Lonchura striata: one gene and its partners. The protein of the gene in region 2 purifies or fractionates together with the protein of the main gene of each other region. This does not show direct contact. Links are inferred from orthologs where the notes say so. Each region holds a gene or a part of one and is shown on either strand. Other genes may lie near its edges. The genes, in order: DCAF11, CUL4A and GLMN.

What was found.
Region 1: the proteins of CUL4A (region 2) and DCAF11 purify together in Homo sapiens (affinity purification with mass spectrometry; 13 studies listed by BioGRID and IntAct, counting the BioPlex papers as one, with this or other methods). This does not show direct contact. The link is inferred for Lonchura striata from reciprocal best matches to the Homo sapiens genes CUL4A and DCAF11.
Region 3: the proteins of CUL4A (region 2) and GLMN purify together in Homo sapiens (affinity purification with mass spectrometry; 5 studies listed by BioGRID and IntAct, counting the BioPlex papers as one, with this or other methods). This does not show direct contact. The link is inferred for Lonchura striata from reciprocal best matches to the Homo sapiens genes CUL4A and GLMN.

The regions. Positions count from the first base shown.
Region 1 is NC_134641.1:644,862-648,606, forward strand, and holds the start of DCAF11 (DDB1- and CUL4-associated factor 11), read right to left. Parts: upstream 2,656-3,745; coding exon 2,649-2,655; intron 58-2,648; coding exon 1-57. UniProt on the Homo sapiens protein: May function as a substrate receptor for CUL4-DDB1 E3 ubiquitin-protein ligase complex.
Region 2 is NC_134604.1:91,515,392-91,519,136, forward strand, and holds the start of CUL4A (cullin-4A), read right to left. Parts: upstream 2,664-3,745; 5' UTR 2,615-2,663; coding exon 2,455-2,614; intron 1,931-2,454; coding exon 1,815-1,930; intron 1-1,814. Other genes in the region: PCID2 (PCI domain-containing protein 2), read left to right, coding at 3,621-3,656. UniProt on the Homo sapiens protein: Core component of multiple cullin-RING-based E3 ubiquitin-protein ligase complexes which mediate the ubiquitination of target proteins. As a scaffold protein may contribute to catalysis through positioning of the substrate and the ubiquitin-conjugating enzyme.
Region 3 is NC_134611.1:20,526,950-20,530,694, reverse strand, and holds the start of GLMN (glomulin), read left to right. Parts: upstream 1-961; 5' UTR 962-1,341; exon of another isoform or gene 1,342-1,369; intron 1,370-2,580; 5' UTR 2,581-2,638; coding exon 2,639-2,704; intron 2,705-2,840; exon of another isoform or gene 2,841-2,890; coding exon of another isoform or gene 2,891-2,923; intron 2,924-3,165; coding exon 3,166-3,291; intron 3,292-3,745. Other genes in the region: putative RNA polymerase II subunit B1 CTD phosphatase RPAP2, read right to left, coding at 38-83, 912-954.

The DNA of each region.
Region 1 (3,745 bases), on a different chromosome or scaffold from region 2:
CCCCCCCGAGCTCCGCCCGCAGCTCCTGCAGGGCGGGGCCGGGGGGGGGAGGGGCGGCTGGGGGGGGGAGGAAAGGGGGCGGGGCCTCAGATCAGGCCACGCCCCTTTTAACCCTGACCCCTCCCTTTAAGCCCCTCCCCCCCCCTTTAAGCCCCTCCCCTCATATAAGCCCCTCCTCTTATTTAAGCCCCTCCCCTTATTTAAATTAGATAATTTAAGCTCCTCCCCTTTAAGCCCCTCCCCTTTATTTAAGCCCCTCTCCATATTTAAATTAGATCCATGTAAGCCCCTCCCCTTTATTTAAATTAGATTCATTTAAGCCCCTCCCCTTTATTTAAGTCACTCCCTTTATTTAAATTCGGTCCCTTTAAGCCCCTCCCCTTTATTTAAATTAGATCAATGCAAGCCCCTCCCCTTTAAGCCCCTCCCCTTATTTATGCCCCTCCCTTTATTTAAATTATGTTACATTAAGCCCCTCCCCTTTATTTAAATTAGATCCCTGTAAGTCCCTCCCCTTTATTTAAGCCCCTCCCCTTTATTTAAATTAGATCCATGTAAGCCCCTCCCATTTATTTAAACCCCTCCCCTTATTTAAATTAGATCCCTTTAAGCCCCTCCCCTTTATTTAAGCCCCTCCCCTTTATTTAAATTAGGCCCATTTAAGCCCCTCCCCTTATTTAAATTAGGCCCCTTTAACCCCTCCCCTATAGTTAAACCCCTCCCCTTATTTAAATTAGATCCCTTTAGCCCCTCCCTTTTGTTTAAGCCCCTCCCCTTATTTAAATTCGACCCCTTTAAGCCCCTCCCCTTTATTTAAGCTCCTCCCCTTTATTTAAACCTGGCCCCTTTAAGCCCCTCCCCTTTGTTTAAGCCCCTCCCCTTTATTTAAATCAGGTCACCTTAAGCCCCTCCCCTTTATTTAATCCCCTCCCCTTTATTCAAATCAGGTCACCTTAAGCCCCTCCCCTTTGTTTAAGCCCCTCCCCTTTATTCAAATCAGGTCCTATTAGCCCCTCCCCTTTGTTTAAGCCCCGCCCCATTATTTAAATGTGGTCCTTTTAAGCCCCGCCCCTTTCCCCTCAAGCCCCGCCCCCTTTAAGCCCCGCCCCCACCTCTGGAGGCCTCCGGGGCCCCTCCCCCCCCTTCCGCTTCCGCTTCCGGTTCCGGTTCCGGTTCCGGTTCCGGCTCCGAGTCCGAGTCTGAGTCCGGATCCGGCTCCGGGATTTGCCCCGCCCGGCCCTGGAGAAAAGGCACCCAAAATGACCCAAAAATGGCCAAAATTCACCCAAAATTCACCAAAATTCAGCCCAAATTCAGCCAAAATTCAGCCAAAATTCACCCCAAAATTCAGCCAAAATTCACCCAAAATTCACCCAAAATTCACCCCAAAAATGGCCAAAATTCACCCCAAAATTCAGCCAAAATTCAGCCAAAATTCAGCCAAAATTCACCCCAAAATTCACCAAAATTCACCCCAAAATTCACCCCAAAATTCAGCCAAAATACCCCCCAAAATGACCCAAAATTCAGCCAAAATTCAGCCAAAATTCAGCCAAAATTCAGCCAAAATTCACCCAAAATTCAGCCAAAATTCACCCAAAATTCACCCAAAAGTCACCGAAAATTCAGCCAAAATTCCCCCCAAAATGACCCAAAAATGGCCAAAATTCAGCCAAAATTCAGCCAAAATTCAGCCAAAATTCAGCCAAAATTCAGCCAAAATTCAGCCAAAATTTACCCAAAATTCACCCAAAATTCAGCCAAAATTCAGCCAAAATTTACCCAAAATTCACCCAAAATTCACCCCAAAAATGGCCAAAATTCAGCCCAAAAATGGCCAAAATTCACCCAAAATTCACACCAAAATTCAGCCAAAATTCACCCGAAATTTAACCAAAGTTTACCCAAAATTCACCCAAATTTACCCCAAAATTCACCCCAAAAATGCCCAAAAATCTCCCAAAAAAATTCCAAAAAATTCCAAAAATTTCCCCAAGCAATTCCCTAAAATTCCCAACAAAAACCCAAAAAAATTCCCCAAAAATGCCCCAAATCCCCTCCCCCACCCCCAACCTGCCTCAGTTTCCCCAAATCCCCCCCAATCCCCTCCCCCACCCCAAACCTGCCTCAGTTTCCCCCCAAATCCCCTCCCCCACCCCAAACCTGCCTCAGTTTCCCCCCAAATCCCTCCCAAATCCCTCCCCCACCCCCCAAATCCCCTCCCCCACCCCCCAAATCCCCTCCCCCACCCCGAACCTGCCTCAGTTTCCCCCCAATCCCCCCCAAATCCCCTCCCCCACCCCAAACCTGCCTCAGTTTCCCCCCAAATCCCCTCCCCCACCCCCAAACCTGCCTCAGTTTCCCCCCAAATCCCCTCCCCCACCCCCAAACCTGCCTCAGTTTCCCCCAAATCCCCCCCAAATTCCCTCCCCCACCCCTCCAATCCCCTCCCCCACCCCCCAAACCCCCTCCCCCACCCCGAACCTGCCTCAGTTTCCCCCCCCCTCACCTCCTGAGCAGCGCGCGCAGCTCCGGCAGCTCCAGCCCCTCCCCCCCCTCCCCACCCTCCCCCTCCCCGGCCCCTCCCCCCCCCCCGGGGCCGCCCCTCCCCCCCCCTCCCCTTTCCCCTCCCCCCCCTCCGCTCCTGCCGCCCATGGATCCCCCCGCGCCGCCACTTCCGGGTTAGGCCCCGCCCACCGCGCCGCCTCCGCCAATCAGCGCGCAGGCAGCGAGCCACGCCCCCCCCGCGCTGATTGACACGTGGGGTAAGGGGGGAGGGGGCGTGGCCTGCGGGGGGAGCGCGCTGATTGGCGGAGGGGGAAAGGAGGGCGGGGATTGGTGGGAGCGGGGAGGGGATGGAAGGAGGGCGGGGATTGGTGGAGAGGGGAGGGGCGGGATGAGAGGGAGGCGGGGATTGGTGGAGAGGGGGAATGGGGGAAAATGGGGGAAAATGGGGAAAAATGGGGAAAAATGGGAAAAAAGGGGAAAAAAGGGGGAAAAATGGGGAATTTTGGGGGAAATTTGGGGAAAAACGGGGGGAAAATGGGGGAAATTTGGGGAAAAATGGGAAAAATGGGGGAAAAATGGGGAATTTTTGGGGAAAATGGGGAAAAATAGGAAAAAATGGGAAAAAATGGGGAAAAATGGGGAAAATTGGGGAAAAATTGGGAGAAATTGGGGGGAAATGGGGAAAAATGGGGAAAAATGGGGGGAAATGGGGGGAAATGGGGAAAAATGGGAGAATTTGGGGGAAATTGGGGAGATTTTGGGTGAAATTGGGGAAAAACGGGGAAAAATGGGGAAAAAATGGGGAAAAATGGAGAAAAATGGGGGAAATTTGGGGAATTTGGGGGGAAATGGGAAAAATGGGGGGAAATGGGGAAATTTTGGGGGAAAATGGGGAAAAATGGGGAAAAATTGGGAGAAAATGGGAGAAAATGGGAGAAATTGGGGGGAATGGGGGAAATGGGGAAAAATGGGGGAAATTGGGGGGGAATGGGAAAATTTTGGGGAAAATGAGGAAAAAATGGGAAGAAAAGAAAAAATTTGGGGAAAAATGGGGGAAAATGGGGAAAAAATGGGAAATATTGGGGGAAAATGGGGGAAAATTTGGGAAAAAAGGGGAAATATTTGGAAAAAAAGAAGAAATTTGGGAAAAATAGGGAAAATGGGAAGAATGCGGAAAAATGGGGAAAATGGGGGAAATGGGGAAATTTTGGGGGAAATTGGGGAAAAGCGGGGAAAA
Region 2 (3,745 bases):
GCTTCCCACACAGCCTCATCACTGTTCTTCAGTTTCTTCTCAGCCACTGTGCCAAATTAAATAAATAAATCAGAAGGTTCAACTGTAGGCTGGTACACCAACCCACTGAGTGCACTGAACTCTAGAAGGCCTCTCACTTCCCCCTATAATGTCAGATAAAGACTCAAAAAAACCCCAAAAACCACCACAAAGGCCTGATAGTAAGAACTGATGCAGCCAGAGATATTTTCCCTTGCGGATGACTCGATGCTCACCAACAGGCAGTTAAAATGATCTGTAAATACAGATCAGGTTTCCAATGGATGCTGAACCTCATCTTTTATTCCTCTGGCAGGACAGTAAAACCTGTCTATGCAGAGGCACACCGAGCATCACCACCCACTGTGCAGAAATCTTCCCGATTTGCTGTGCTAAGGATTATTTGACCAGCCTTGCACAGTTTTTACAAATAAGCAAACAAAGAGAAAAAGCAAGAAGTACAGTTCTCCCTTCACAGTTTATCTGAAATATCTCTCCTCTTCTGCCAAAACTCAAGCACGTTCCCTAGTGATTTCATAGACATATTACTATAATCTCATTTCTGATCCTCTGAAAACAAGTTAGGTAACACTCAAAGCATCTGTGGGCTGGTTTTTGGTTTTTTTTTTTTTGTTTTTTTTTTTTTTTTGCTAGACATGAAAAAGCAGTTGTTTTCAAATGCCAAATTTAAAACAATAAAAGGCATTATGTCATTCAAACTTTGCAAATCTGTGATTATTAATAGATATATTATAGTCAAGTTTTATATTTAAAGGGAATAATTATTTTAAGCTAATACACATTTACATAATCAGCTATTTTAGACCTATATATTACATACCCTAACTAAAGGGGTAAGTATAGCCAGTTCTGAAACCCATTCTGATCTTTTTGAACAGGGACCCAGTATGGACTACTGGCATTCTCCTCCCTCACAGTCCACCCTTTGCACCTCAACTAAACATTTAGAAAATTTTAGGAGTGCATAATAATATTTTCAGTCCTGGACCGGCAAGGACATTAACCTGCAGATCAAACACTGCACCCACGGAAAAGTCATAATGAACTTATGTTATATAGCACAATTTAGTGCATCAGTACTCTTTTATAGCATGCTCTTTCTAGAAAGCTGCTACTTCAGCTAAATACCTCAAAGCACATACATCTGAAATAACATAGAACTAAACCACATATAACTGGAGAAAGTAAAGAAATGGCTTAGGAGTCCATCTCTTTTAACCTCCCTAGCCTCTGCTCCAGTAGTGCAGGTGTTCCAGAAATGCTTTTTCATCACTTGAACCAAAAAACTAAGATCTTGATTTTTATGAAAATGTAACAGTAATCTGAAATGTGGATAAAGTGACAATTTGTTGCCTGCTCAATCAAGATTGCTTTTTAATTCCCCAAAAGGTATACAAGTGTAATATTATAATGCAATAATAACAAATACTTCAACATTACTATTTACAAGAGACCAGAGCACGCACGAAAATAATTCATAACCCTGTTAGAGTAACATCCTGTTTTCAGCATGCTGAGTGGGCAGAGTATTGAAGATACTAAGACTTAGATCTCAGCCCTGCCCAGGAATAGCTTTCTGTGCCTCCCAACAGAAACTGCTTTTTCATGGGCCCAGATCCTGGTAACTTTCCGAGGAACTGATACATACAAAAACTGATTACAAAGTATGTAGCAGAGTATTCAATCAGCTTTTAAGAAATCAAAATACATTATGTTGAATGTGTGCCAAAGCAGTTTAATTGTAAAAAACGAAACCAACACCTTATGTAGCTTACCTGGTAGAGCTCTTCAAGGTTGTATTTAATAGAAATACTACTCTGTATGGCTCCCACCGCTTCATTAAGTTTCTGCCAGGTGTCCTGAGTATAATTATCAGGTAATTTGGGTCTTTCTGTGAAGTAAGACACAGGTAGTTTGAAAACGGCCACCCAACGAGAGCCTGCAGCAATTTCTCTCTCCCTGCCGCTCCATCAAGTTCTGCCAAGCCACTGTGCTCTCGGCATTGTAAGTCTGGCACACTCAGAGGGGTCACTAATTCCACCCGAGCCTTTGCACGACGCGCTTCACCCCCCGGCCGCTGTGTCTGACGCCCGTGTTACTTTTAGCGAGGCAACCACCCTCGCCTGGCTTTAATCAGCGCTGACACTAAGGTGGCTTTCTGCCCGCTCCCGACGGCCGCTGCCCCCGCGCACGGCGCCCCACGCGTGTCCCCGGGAGCCCTTACACGGGCACGGTGCCGGCAGCGCTGTCAGCCCGGCGGCGTTATCAGCCCCGCCGCCGCCTCCCCTCGCCCACAGGGCGGCGGGCGGGTGACGGCGGCGGGGCCCGGGCACGGGGCGGGGAGCGGCCGCGGTAAACAAAGATCGGGCCGAGCGCACCTGCCAGGACAGAGGGCCCGGCCTGCCCCGTACCCACCTCTGAAGTTCTTGATCACGAGTTTCTTGGAGGAGGCGGTCGCGCCTCCTCCTCCCCCTCCCGCAGAGCGGCTGGCGGTCAGCGAGGCGGGCTTGGTGAGCCCGTTCGTGTGTCCCACCAAGGCCGACAAGTGCGACTTCTTCTGCGGCTCGTCCGCCATCTCCGCCCCGGGCGCCGTGTCCGGCCGGGGCAACGCGCTGGGCTGGGCCGGGCCGGGGCCGGCTGGTCCCCGCCTCCGCTCCCCTCCTCCTCCCCCGCCGCCGCCACCCAGCTGCCCTCCCCCACTGCCCGCGGGCGGCTGCCAAGTGCCGCCGGGGGAAGGCACCGGTAGCCGCCCGCCCGCCTCCGCCGGCCCCCGCGGCCGGCTCGGGGCGGGCCCGGGTTCGAGTCCGCTCCCGAGTCCGGGCGGCCCGCGGCGCTCGGGCAGCGCCAGCCCCGCTCACAAGATGGCTCCCGGGCCGGGGCAGCCTGCCGCCGGCGGCAGCGGCCCCTCGGTGTCCCTGCTTGCCCTGTTTGCTGGTACCCGCCGAAGGGCGGCCGAACGCAAGCCAGAGCAGCCGCTCTTGCCGCCCACAAAAGCCGCCATCCCCAGAGGCCGCCCGCGCCCTGCTCACCGGCACCTGCCAAACCCAACCGAGCCCAGCCTGCACGAACATGGAGCACGTCCTTGTCTCACACATCTCCCTGGCGCCAGCGCCTTTAGGAGTCAACCTGCTTGGAAGTTTAATGCTCAATTCAACTTTTTCGACCCAAGTTCACCGGCGACCTCTCGCCAGCGCTCCCCGTGGGCAACGCTGGAGCACTGGGAGGCGAGCCTCCATAGCCCTCCTGGGGCAGTCACTGGAGTGTCCGGCCACACGGAGCGCACCGCCCGCCTGCTGTCCAAGCCGCGGGTACCAGAGGCAGCGCTGGTGGCAGTCACAGCACCCGCCACCCCTCAGCGCCAGCGCACGCGGTTTGCCGCCGGCGCGCGCCCCCTGCCCCGCCCACGCTCGCTCCTATTGGCTGCCCGAGTGAGGCCACGCCCCGGGCCCGCGGTGGGCGGGGCATAGGCCGGTGGGGGCTGTCACGTGACGCTCGGGGCCGTTCCCGCCGGCCTCGCGCGCGCCGGGATCCGGAAGCGCGGGGGGAGTGCCGGGAGTTCCGCCTCAGCTCCGGACCCTTCAATGGCGCACATCACCATAAACCAGTACTTGCAGCAAGTAAGCAAGCTTTTGTTATTGTTTTTTTAATTACTCTGTGGGCCCTGTTTGAGTATATGCGGGTGTGTTTTTGTTTGCTGTAAGTATGG
Region 3 (3,745 bases), on a different chromosome or scaffold from region 2:
AACACAAATATCTCATATTATTCCTCAGAAATTATACCTTTGAGCAGCATCTTCATTTTTCTGAGCAGCTGAATGCTTATTTCCTAAGAATCAAATATACAGATATCAAAATTAGTGTACTTGCTTAACAGCAGATGTTGGAACCTGAAAAATATGAAAACCTCTAAACTGTAAGCACAATTAAGATAATTTCTTATTATTGCTTTTGCTGGCTGTGATTTCAGTAAGCTGGTATTCAGCAACCAGACACACTTTAAAAAGTGTGAAAACAGGCCCAACGCTTCTTATACTCTCATTCACCACGTTCTGTATGCACAAAAAAGAGAAAACATTCTGACAATGGCGTTGTGCCAGCCACACCCCCCGTCTCTCCAGGCGGTAAAGCCCAGTTTTACCGCGGCGCCCCACTGCCGTCCCCACGGCTGCCGCGGGGCAGGGCTGAGCCAGGGGCCAGGTCCAAGGCCTGACACAGAGCCGCTCCCTCCCGGGACGGCGCCCGGCCCGGCTCCCCACACGGGCGTCCGCGCAGCCGCTCCCCTCCGACACGGGCAAAGGCAGGGGCGCACCGGGCTGTCACCCTGGCAAGGACGCAGCGCCGCGGGCAGGGCTCGGCGCTCTGACGGCACGACCGCCGCCACAGCCCGTCCCCGATGCTCAGAGCCGCCGCCCCGGCCCCTCACAGCCCGAGGGCACGGCGGGTCCTGCCTCGCCCCGTCCGGCGCACCGCTCATCGCGGCCCCGCACCCGGCCCGGCAGAGCCCGGCAGAGCCCCGCAGAGCCGACCACGGCCGGCCCGCGCTCCCCTCCGCTTGGCTTGGGCGACACCGCCGCCGTGCCGGCCTGCGGGCACAGGGAGAGCCCAAAGCGCAGCCGGGGGGAGCGGGGGCTGGCGCGCGGACCCCGGCGCCCACCTGCGCGCCGCCGGCGGGACTTGCCCGCCGCGGCCGCCATCATCGCCGTCAGCGCCGCTCCGCCCGCCGACCTCTCACCCGGGGCGGGGCCGGGAGAGGCGGCAGCGCCGGGCTGAGGGCTTCCTCTGGCAGGGGCTGAGCTGAGCTGAGCACAGGCGGTGCCGTGCCCTTGTGGCTTGTAATTCAGCCGTGTGTTACAGGCTTTAGCTGGCAGCCTTTTCGTCCCATCCTGGCTGTTGTACCGCCCAGAGAAGGGGCTGGGGTATCTGTTTATTAGAAGAGAGTTTGGTGAGTATTAATAGAACGTTTCACATGATTCAGACGCTGCTCACTTGCCGCTGAAACCTCCTAAAAGATTCACTTGGAAGCCGGATTAAGTATTAAGGCCGGAGACCATCTGCGAGCTCAGCCAGCAAATCCATGCAACACGGTGGGTGCCTGGGACGCGTTTCAAGGCTGTAAGTACATTGTCAAGTTACTGAGGGCTGCTGTTCGAAAGTATGTTAAATTGTTTTGGCGGGATTAGTAATAGTCTGTAAAATGAAGAGTTTAAATAGTACAAGATGTGGTAAGAAAGTATGTGGTAATGATCTGGTTGAAATGACAGGCTAGAAAGGATAGGTTTCAGTGACATACAGGTGTCAGAATGGGCCCTGAAGAATAGGAAGTGAGTTGTTTATTCTTTGAATAAAGAAGGTCATACACAGATGCCTTTTAAGCTTTTGTGAGTTGTCGCCTCTTGTGAGCGTCTAGATAGGTTCATTATCTGTGTGTTGTCTCATTTAGGTGTGCTGGCAATTGGCCAGCGTCAACCCACCACTTTAGGTAAAACTAAGAAGAAAGGCTCAGGACATTGCATGGAGATGCCTGTTTTGATGAATAGTTGCCTAATTAACCAGGTGTAGGGGTAATTGACAATCATAGTGATAATATAACCAGGTTTAGGTCCATGGCATTACTTAAAACCATAAAGATTATGACTGCTGCTATGATATATCACATGGGATAACCAGGCTTGATTGCATTTTTAATTCATGAGCCTGGCTACATAAAACTTGGTACATACTTGACATTACTCAAGTGTATAACTTTGTTGTTTTTAGCAAGAAAGTTTTAAATTTTAATACCTAGAGGTAAAAAGCCACTGCACTAGTCCCACCTAGACACTAGAAAGAAATAAGTGAAACTGCATATGTAATCTTCACTGGACTGTTGATATAAACAGGCATGGTGTTTGAATCAGTGCCTTCACACACCAGATATCGGGTTAGTGTGTTCCAGTCAGGGCTGAGCAGAAGCTCCTCTGGTCAGAATAGGCACAGAAAATGTAGTGTGTCATGGGTGTGCCTCCTTGGCATGCAGTGAGCCCAGACTTGCTCTGTGTTAGCTGCAGTTTTCCATGTCTGTGCCTGCAGTAGTCACTGAAACCTTCACACTTCTTAAGATGACCCAGATAGTACTTGAAAAATTATTTCCCTGTACATAGAATGCATGTTGTTTCCTGTCTGTAATACTGTTTCCTGCTAATATGGGGAGTAGAATAATATAGCATACACTTAGTAAAAATGAATTTTCCCTTATTTGCTAATTATGTAGTCTTTATATTTGTCTAGATTGTTCTTGTTCCCCCATTAACTTTTTTTTTTTTGATAATGTGATTATTTTTCAGCCTCTGTTTTAAATCCGTGTAATATAATACTGCCCTCTTTAATTTATAATAAATTTTCATGCTGGAAGAACACAGTCAAACTAAAATGGCAGTTGATGAACTTCAAGACATAATACAAAGATGTGTAAGTAGTTTTCCTTCCTTAGAAGTAACAAGTGTCAGTAGTGCGAGTTTCTTTTCATATATTAGAATTAAAACCAAAATTACCTCAAAAAACAAGTCCACTGTTAGTAGAACTCTTCATGGAACAGCTAAGTTGAGCCTCCATGTTTCATTGCCTTCTCTGTGGTGCTTATCCCAAGATGCTTGATTATTTCTGCTTCTTGGAGAAGGAGGTGTGTACCTAGGAACAAAAGCTGGTAGTTGTAGAAAACACATCTTCCAAACAGCAAGCTGTAATGTAGACTTAGTGCTATTGAAATACTGCCCTGTCTTCTGTAGTAACTTGGTAGCTTTTTTAGTAAGTTAAAAATGTATAGAAGTTACAATGATATTACATCTAATTTTGAAATGAAAGCATGGATTTTCTTATTTCTTAATTGACTTTGCTAAGTATGAGGTTAAACATTCATATTTTCTTTCTAGCAAATTCTGGAAGAAGCTGATTTCAAAGGAGAAGATTTCAATCTGTTTCAGGTAGCAGGTCAGAAATGTTTGGAAGATGGATATGCAGCTCAGTTATTAGAAGTAATTCAAAATGAGAAAAACAAGGTGAGTTTAAGTTTGCACTGCATAGTAGTGTTTATTAACATTAAATATAAAACTGCTAATTAAGAGGGGAAAGCTACTTTCTCTGTGGAGCAAGGCTGTACATAAGAGTAGCTAATAAGTTGCCCTGTGTTAAGTGCCCATTATTCTGTATTCAGGTATCTTACAGAAACCCAAGTCACAGTAATCTTAACAAAACCATTAATAACTCTTCTGTGAGTGAAGCAAAGAGAAAAGGAAGTAGAAAAGCATAATTAGGAGAAAGTGGCATGTCCCACTTCCACAGGACGGGGATTTCAGATGGTGTACTAGGTCTGGCTGGCATGGAGTTGGCTTTCATCATGGCACACTGCATAGTGCTGTGTTTTAGATTTGTGACCAAAAAGGTGCTGATAATACATCAGTGTTTCAACTACTGCTGATCAATACTTGTGCAGCATCAAGGCCTTCTCCCTTT